Linked DNA regions of Ovis aries. The protein of the gene in region 1 interacts with the protein of each later gene in a pairwise test. Links are inferred from orthologs where the notes say so. Each region holds a gene or a part of one and is shown on either strand. Other genes may lie near its edges.

Evidence for each region.
Region 2: the proteins of TCHP (region 1) and DYDC1 interact in binary tests that used the Homo sapiens proteins (3 or more experiments, as listed by UniProt). The two-hybrid records come from large-scale screens. The link is inferred for Ovis aries from reciprocal best matches to the Homo sapiens genes TCHP and DYDC1.

The regions. Positions count from the first base shown.
Region 1 is NC_056070.1:63,503,622-63,508,466, forward strand, and holds the start of TCHP (trichoplein keratin filament-binding protein), read right to left. Parts: upstream 3,294-4,845; 5' UTR 3,181-3,293; intron 1,732-3,180; coding exon 1,538-1,731; exon of another isoform or gene 1,527-1,537; intron 690-1,526; coding exon 479-689; intron 1-478. UniProt on the Homo sapiens protein: Tumor suppressor which has the ability to inhibit cell growth and be pro-apoptotic during cell stress. Inhibits cell growth in bladder and prostate cancer cells by a down-regulation of HSPB1 by inhibiting its phosphorylation.
Region 2 is NC_056078.1:34,775,677-34,780,077, forward strand, and holds part of DYDC1 (DPY30 domain-containing protein 1), read right to left. Parts: intron 1,812-4,401; coding exon 1,755-1,811; intron 932-1,754; coding exon 830-931; intron 1-829. UniProt on the Homo sapiens protein: Functions as part of axonemal radial spoke complexes that play an important part in the motility of sperm and cilia. Plays a crucial role during acrosome biogenesis.

The DNA.
Region 1 (4,845 bases):
GGGATTGAACCTGGGCACTCAGCAGTGAGCGTGGAGTCTTAACCACTGGACCACCAGGGAGTTCCCACAAATGACTCTTATAATGGTGATAAAAAGGGGCCAAAATCTGATGCTACAAATGGGTCCTAGATGCTAAAGATCTACTTCAAAATATACAGCAGGCTTAAAAACACAGCTTAGAGACCACCACTACACAGGACTACTTTGGAAGTTAAGTTAAAATACACCAGTCCCAGCCTTTCATGGGACCAGAGAACTAGAATAAAGAAAAGGGACTCAGATATAATGATTTAAGGGGCCCAAGAGAATAAAGATGACTCCTGGAAAATACACACGAACAACGACTCAGAGTCAGCACTTTTCTCAGCTGGCTCTGTAGTGAACTGCCATCTCGGCCCCTGAGGGAGACGCCTCGTGGCCTCACCGACAGGCCGGGGACTCGGGCTTCGCACCCTGCTGAAGAGCTACGCGGAGTTACCAGCTTCCTTTGCTCCTCTCGGGCCGCCTTCAGGTTCCCGTGCTGCTCCCGGATTCTCCCTTCCCTCAGGTTCATGCTCAGCCTCAGCTCCTCCAGTTGTCTGGCCAGCAAGTCCTGCTCCTCCACCAGAAGCTGCCTGAGTCTCTGCCGTCGGGCCTCCAGACGCTTCCTGCCCTCCTCCTTCATCTTCTCCCGCTGGTAAGCATGCATGCTGGGCGAGAGGGGCCACCATCAGCCTGGATGCTTCCAGCTGCACAGGGGCTACATGGCTGGCTGTGTGGGTGACAGGCTGAGACACATGGAACATGGTGACCTGGGAAGGCGTCCTCCAGCCAAAGTGAACAGGCCAGGTAATAGAACCACTATGCATAATAGAATCTTGTTCTTGCAAGGAAATGTACAAGAGGCGTATCTATGCACATGGTAATATTATCTGAGTAGTTACCATGTACTACATAACCTGGATGGTTTTTATAGTAGTCATGACATAAATCCTATAAATTAGGTTCTGTTTTAGCCCCACTTCACTGATGAGGAAACTGAGGCTCATTCATACAGCAAGTGACACAGTCAGAATTGCTATCTAGGTCTGTCCGACTCCAAAGCCCATAGTCAGAATTGCTATCTAGGTCTGTGTGACTTCAAAGCCCATGCTTTTAACTTCCGTGTTTTCGTATGTATCTCTCTCTATAAAAATGGGTGTATGCTTGTATCTATATTTACACACAAAAACAGATGAAGAAGTGTACGGGAGGTTACGGACCAGACAGTTCACGGTGGTTCTCTCCTGGGGAAATGGGGCTACCGGGGGACTTCCGGATTCTACATACACGTCTCATCATCTTATCTTTTTCAGTCAAATGTGTTACTTCACTGCTGACCTTCTTTTCAGTTTCCAGTTGGAAAGACATCGCCATGCGAGTATCCACGGAAATCATCACATTTCCATGCAAGTATCCACGCCGGCCAGCCACCCTCCCCCAGGTCCTTGAGTCAGTCACATCTCCCGGCAGTAGGTGGCCCTCCAGCCCTAAGGGAAGGTGCTCACCGCACAGTTACCTCCGCTGGTAGGAGGCCCTGGAGCTCCACTCTGCCTGTTTGGAGCTGCGGATGTCGGACATCTGGAAGTAGCGGCTGTTCTGGTCCCACTGCTGCCGAAGATGCGCCTCCTGCTCCTGGCGGCGCTGTCGGGCGGCCTGCTGATCTGGGAGCCGCCGGCTGCACCAGGAGGAGGGCAGCGTGGGGAGTGCCATCTGAGGAGAACAGCAGCGCTAAGAACAGGAGCCTGCTGCAGCTCCTCACCCCTTTGAGGCCCGGTCCTCACCCTGGGCTGCACACTGGGATCTCCTGGTAGAGCCTGGGCCCCAAGGCAGACCAATTAAGTAAAAAAAAAAAAATCTCAGTGCAGGCTCCCAGGCACCAGCATTTTAAAAATGACTTGCTACCAGGACCCCAAATCATCTAGCTGAAGAAGCCTGGACTGCACCCAGCTGTGAGCCTGACATCAGTAAGGGCAGTGCAGAGACAGGGAGCCAGTGCTGACGACACTGGACTGGCACACGGAGGGTTTCTGCGCTCTGCCTAAGGTAACAGAGAGGATAACTGCAGGCATGCGGATGTGGGCCAAGCCCTTGACTTATATGACCTTTTTCATTGTTACTAGCACCCTGCTGTTTTTGGCAGCTGAGGAAACTGAAGTTCAAAGAGGTAAAATGACTTGAAGATCACAAAGCCAGGAAGCAGAGGAAATTTAAACAGGAGCTGGGAGCCTAATTCATGTTAGCCTGGGATGAGGGCCCAAGCTCTGTAGACTGCAAGATGGTACTTGTTGGGACCAACATGCCCTGGCTGTGAAGTGAAATGAAAGTCGCTTGCTGAAATCAAAGTCCTGTCCCACTCTTTGCAACCCCATGGACTGTAGCCCACGAGGCTCCTCTGTCCATAGTATTCTCCAGGCAAGGATATTGGAGTGGGTTGCTATCTCCAGGTGTCACACCTGGTAATGTTCTGGATGAGCATGGAGGGAGATCCCTCCTTCTTACAGATGGAGAAACTACCACCCAGAGGGAAGAATCAATTTGCACGGGTCAAGGGGGCGATCTGGGGACACGGGCGGAGACTCGAAAGCAGAACCAGTCTCTCCGGACATCTCCCCCCAACCACTCCCGGTCCAAAAGCTGCCCCAGGTGCAGGGTCTACACAGTGCCTGGCTGTGACAGTGCTCAAGGAGCTTCTGGCAAATAAACAAACTCAGAGTCCTCCGAACCGGGAGGAAAATGATCTGCGTCTATGAGTCAAGCTTAGCCTGAGACTGCCAGGTCAAATCTGTCTTCAGACTGTGGCAGGCCTGACAGACATTTTTCTTTGCCCCATAGGCCGCCTGCGGATAAATCTTTGCACGAGGATTGAGGAAAGTGAAGATTCCGGCCCCAGATGAACCATCAACAACAAGCTGGGAGGCTCTCTGAACAAGTCGCATCCCTCTCTCAGCCACATACAACAAAAGAGATTACAGAGGAAAGGGTCGGACCCAGGCCGCGCGGGGAGCCGAGTGAGGACTGGAAGCCGAAGCCCCGGGCGCCCCGCGATCGCGTCCCGGGACGGCGGGCGCGCTTCCCGCCAGCGCGGAGCCGACTGCGGCAGAGCTCTGAGGGTCCAGACCCCAACGCCGGCCCCCGACCGAGCCCAAACCCCCGACTCACGTTTCTCTGCGCGCCGGAGTTTCCCAAGACTGCCCCGGCCCAAGGTCCCGCAAGCCCCAAATAATCCCTGCCCGGGCCACGGCGACCCTCTCCGACAGCGCTGCACTTACGCCGGCCGTTTCCCCGCTCGTTGCCGAGGCAACGGGCCGGCGATGGAGCGCCGCGAGGGCCAAGCCTCCTGCAGCGCGATTACTCGGCGCGCAGAGCAAGAAAAGAAGTCTGTGTTTTTCTCCGATGCCCCCTCGTGGTGGGCGGGAGCTCAATCGCAGACATCGCTTGTCTAAGGAAAAGAATCCATTCACTACACCAAATTCAGGATGATGGCTACCTGAGGGAGGCAGGTGAGCGTCGGGGAAAATCAGAGGGATATAATAGGGAAGGGAATTATAAGCCAGTCACCCTCAAACCTGGCTGCACAAGAGAATCATCTGGAGAGCTCTGAAAAATCCAGATGTCCAAACCGGACTCCAGACAAACCCCATCGAGCACTCTGTGGTTGTCTAAGCCCCTCAGGTGTGTTCAAGGTGTAGCCAGCTCGAAGAACCGCTGATATAAGTAGGTTCGAGCTATTGGCAACTTTCTATTGTTTTAGGATGGTGGTGGGTTCAAGGGTGTTCCTTCTGTTAGTATGTTTTATAACTCACATGCTACGTGTATCATTCTATGTACCAACTATTCTCTTAAAAAATGAAATTAAAAGATTGGAAATTCCCCGGCAGTCCAATGGTTAAGACAGCCCACTGTCACTGCCGAGAGCCTGGGTTCAATCCCTGATTGGGGAGCTAAGATCCCACAAGCTCTGCAGTGTGACAAAAATAAATGAAAAGCAAAAGTATTAACTCTTTTATTCAGGCTCTTTTCATTTTCCCATTTTTGTCTTCATTTATTCTTTCCTTCACCCTTTCCTCCTTTTTTTATTTAAATTTTATTTATTTAGCTGCCTGGGGTCTTAGTCGCGGGCACTCCCATCTTCTAGTTGTAGCTTGTAGGGTTAGGTGCTCTGCCACATGTGGGAACCTAGTTCCCCAACCAGGGATCAAACTTGGGTCCTCTACATTGCAAGCTGGACTCTTAACCACCAGACCACCAGGGAAGGCCCGCCCGCCCGCTTCCTTCTTTTATTCAATTCTCTGTTTTCCCTGGATGCAGTATAAAGTCTGGTTGAACAGAGTGACCTCTGTTGCAGCCTCCACCACAACAGTCGTGTGGTCTGGACAGGTCACTTCGTCACTCTGAGCCTCCGTGTCCTCATCCGTGAAATAAGAATGTTCAAGTAATTGAAAAAGGAGCCCATTAGACTGGGAAGGCTGTGACACCTCCGTAGCCGATGCAGGTCAACCTAAACCTAGGCCAGAGCCAAAGCACCCAAATTGGAGAAAATGAAATTTAGCACTCACAAACAGCCAACTGGGCTTTCCCAAACAAGGCAACCTCTTAAGTTACAGCCAATCAAACGATTTCCTTGCTTTCACATCTTCTTTCTAAAAACCTCTCCTAGATCCTGCCGGTAGAGTGTTCTGAACACCTTTCTTTTGCCTGATTCCGATCAGCAAGTCTTGAAAGTTTTACTGTGCCTCAGATTAGCTTTAAATAAGAATACCGACAGGGCTGCTTTCTACAGTTGCCCTCATGAGAGGAAATGAAAGTTTAAATGGAGCGGCCTCG
Region 2 (4,401 bases), on another chromosome or scaffold:
CCCACCCCACCACTGAGTGACAAGGCTGACTTTCTCCATGAAGCTTTCCCTGATCAAGGGTCTTCAGCCAGGCAGCTGTTCTACTTTGTCAGTGCCCACCAATGCAGGTGACTCAATAGGCTTCCTGGGTTATAGCTGCTGATGGCATCAGATATCAACAGCTCCTCCTCTCGCTCTTGAAGCATACTGCTTTGGAGGACAAATTACCTGGCCACTCTAACAGTGACAATTACTTGCTTGTCTAGTTGTTTGTTTCTTTCCTAGACAAGGTCAGAACGACTTGTTTTGGCCATAAAAGTACTGGGCACAATATGTGTGCCCAGGAAACACTGTATGATTATTAAATAAGCTAACGTACATAAATACTGTAAAAGCATGCACGCTCATTAGGTTATTTACTTGGCTCCATGGTTTACTACTGAGAACCAAAATATCGGCCCCCAAAATTTAAAGATTATGTATTTTACCACATGGTTTTAAATATACATTTTGAAAAGATTTTGAAATTTTCAAAGCCTCACTTCCGAACAACCGTATCACCCTCTGCACAGGAGGGTACACTGCTCACTCCACATTAATACCCAGCTACCTCCCCACCAGCGCCTACACTTCTGTGTGGAGCCAGACCAGTGCCTGCCCTCACTCTTGGGGCCAGCAGCACACTGCACAGGATACCAATTAGAAAAAAGCTGGCACCCAGAAAGCTGATTTCTTTCTGTGAAGCAAAAGACTGACTTTGCCATCCAACCCTGGCCTGAGAGACACTGGGCTTTCCCAAGTAAAACAAGAAACTCTGCTTTTCACAAAATACTTTCCTAAGGATACTTACGTCAGAGAGCATTGGCTCATCGAGTTCTTCCACTCTGCTCAAGTTTGGTGCCCCATATCGATCACTAATCTCAGCTAGTGTTTTGCCTGAGTCGGCTCCATCCTATAACCATATGATCATAAATGAATCTTGATCATAAATGAATCATATAATTCATTTTCACTTTCAAATGACTTTGAGATTAATACATTAATTTGCTTTCAGTTCTGCTAAGGCATTTCTGAATTATAACATCAACATTCAACATTGTCAGTTAATGGAATGAACCAATACCTGTTAGTGACAAGTGAATTCCAAAAACAAAGGCTAAAATGTGTTTTTTAAAAAATACATCATAAAATTTAAAACATATCACTGCATGTAATCATATGGTCAATAATCTCATAATATTCTGGTTTTTAAAAATACAAAAACAAACTGGATATTCCAGTTTTATCCACTTTGAGATTTGGCTTTAAAGTACACCCTATTTGTGACTTGTTATTACTAGATTATGTATTTGAACTATCAGTTTTGATAAACTCCATATTAAAACTTTGGCTACTAGGCTTCCCTGGTGGCTCAGTGTTAAGGAATTTGCCTATCGATGCAAGAGACATGGGTTCGGGAGGACCCAACATGCTGCAGGAGCTGTTAAGCCTGTGTGCCACAGCTACTGAGCCTGGGCACTGCAACCACGGAGCCCGCGTGCCCTAGAGCTTGTGCTCCACAACAAGAGAAGCCACCACAGTGAGAAGCCCGGGTACCTCAGCTGGAGAATAGCACCCACTCACTGCAATTAGAGCCTTCTGCAGCAAGAAGACCCAACACAGCCAAACACAGATAAATAAAATTGTTTTTAAAACGTATCTACTAATGCACCAAAATTTAGTGTCACAATCCAGGATACTTATTCGTATCCCATAACATAACTTTTTGTTCTCACCTCTCCATGTAAAGTATCTTCACCCTTAGCCATATTTTCCATGCTCATTCTCAACTCCTATAATATATAAAAATGGAGAAAAATACTTTGCATATGCTTTCCATTTTGATTCCATGTTTAATTTTTAAGCATTTCATTTTTACATTATGACCCATTTAAGAGCAAAAATGCTGACCTTCTTAAAGAAGAAATCTGAATACACAAGTACAGATACAGCCTCATTTAATACTCTATTAATAGGCAACTACCATATTTTGTTTATAATTAAATAAAATGTGCCCTGGTGGCTCAGATTGTAAAGCGTCTGCCTACAGTGTGGGAGAACTGGGTTTGATTCCTGGGTCAGGAAGATCCTCTGGAGAAGGAAATGGCAACCCACTCCAGTACTCTTGCCTGGAAAATCCCATGGATGGAGGAGCCTGGTAGGCTGCAGTCCATGGGGATATGAAGAGTCAGACATGACTGAGTGACTTCATCTTCACTTTTCACTTTCATGCATTGGAGAAGGAAATGGCAACCCACTCCAGTATTCTTGCCTGGAGGATCCCAGGGATGGGGGAGACTGGTGGGCTGCCATCTATGGGGTCACACAGAGTCGGATACAACTGAAGCAACTTGGCAGCAGCAGCAGCAGAATATTTTAAAAAATGAAATAGGCTGAAACACTAACCCTGAAGCCAAATTACTAACAAAAGTGAAAAGTGACAAAAATTTTAATAAACTCTTAGAATAAGAGACTTTGAAAGAACTTTCAGTTAAGTAGAATTTTATACATAGTGAAAAAGAAGCAAATATTTCTAAAGCAATTAGTCTGGCCCAAGGCGCTACCTAATACATGTGACCTCTCCACAGCACCTGGCAATGCCCTCTATAAAGCACTCTGAATACATAGGACACTGCTTTCTGAATGTGAAAACCCAGAATCTTCTAAACAAACCAAACCTTGCTGTGGCCTCTATCTTTTCATTCTAAGGCAGCAAGCTGACTTAACTGCTCTTGAGCTGATTCACTTCAGCTGTCCAAGGGTGAGTCATCTTGTGACCGTTTATATAATGGCCCTGATGATTAGGGACACATGTGGTACATGGGAGTCCTTTGGACTGCAAGGAGATCCAACTAGTCAATAAAGGAAATCAGGCCTGAATATTCATTGGAAGGACTGATGCTAAAGCTGAAACTCCAATATTCTGGCCACCTGATGCGAAGAACTGACTCATTGGAAAAGACCCTGATGCTGGGAAAGATGGGAGGTAGGAGAGGGGGGACGACAGAGGATGAGATGATTAGATGGCATCACCAACTTGATGGACATGAGTTTGAGCAAGCTCTGGTAGTTGGTGATGGACACGGAAGCCCAGCATACTGCAGTCCATGGGGTTGCAAAGAGTCAGACAAGACTGAGCAGCTGAAGTGAACTGAATGGTACATATGGGCTTCCCATGTGGCGCTAGTGGTAAAAAACCCAACCTGCCAGTGCAGGAGATGTAAGAGACATGTGTTTGATCCCTGGCGACCCACTTCGGTATTCTTGCTGGGATTATCCCATGAACAGAGGAGCCTCGCGGGCTACAGTCCATAGGGTTGCAAAGAGTCAGACACAATGGAAGCAATTTAGCACTATATGCTTTTCTCCAGATCACTCCCTTCTCCTGCACACATCTTATCCCACAACTTCGTGGTTTTGACGGAAAAATTCATGTTCTCATAGGATTCTGTTCCCCAACCAAGGGATGGATACTTGACATAAATTCATCCAGTCAGAATCCTTCCCAAGATTCTTCTCTTAACTGAAACCTAAAAGAAAGGAATCCATTCCTTTCGGATGGTCGGAGCCACAGCATTATAAGACGCAGGAAGCATTAAGGACCATGGTGACCCTCACCCATGTGCAGCGAACCAGGCCGCAGTGAGAGGCACCAGCAGAGGTGTGAGCCCTGGCAGCGCTGATTCTCTTGCCCCCAGAGGCCTGGAAGACCCAGCTCAACCAAAGCCCTTCACAGTTCAGTTGTAAAACCCTTGCTTCAACCCAGGAGCCTTCCAATACATTTCCTTTTGCAAATCATAGTTTAAGTCATGTCTCTGAAGCCACAAGAAGGCCAGGATGAAAAGACCTGGATGAATCTGCCTCCAAGCAAGGCAGTATGTTGCAGGAAAGAAAGGGGTGATAAGCCAGTAGGAATATGGATTATTAATGTCACTGCAGCTCTGGACACTCAGTCTGATAATGCCCAGAAAGTAAGCAACATGAACGGGGACCCTGTGGAGCCAATCCCTCCTGTAAATCACAGACTTTCTATATCACTCAGCTATAACTATCAGGACATCTCAATAAGACACACTTTCAATTCTTTTATCACTTTGATCACTATCTTCTTGATGTATTCTGAGTTTTCTTCTTTTACTTGCGATCACTCAGTCTTAACTGAAGCGGAAGGGTGTGTGCATTGACATGTGTGTGCATGCGTGGATATCCATGTACCCTACCCTCATTCAGACAAAGACAACATCAGCACCTCTGTTTTTAAAACTCTGTATGGGTATTTGATTTTATCCTTTTAAAATCTCATCTTTTTGACTCACAAAAGTAGTCTACCAACACTTGAACTACAACAGGACTGAATGATTTCACTTTGTAAAAACAATTCTT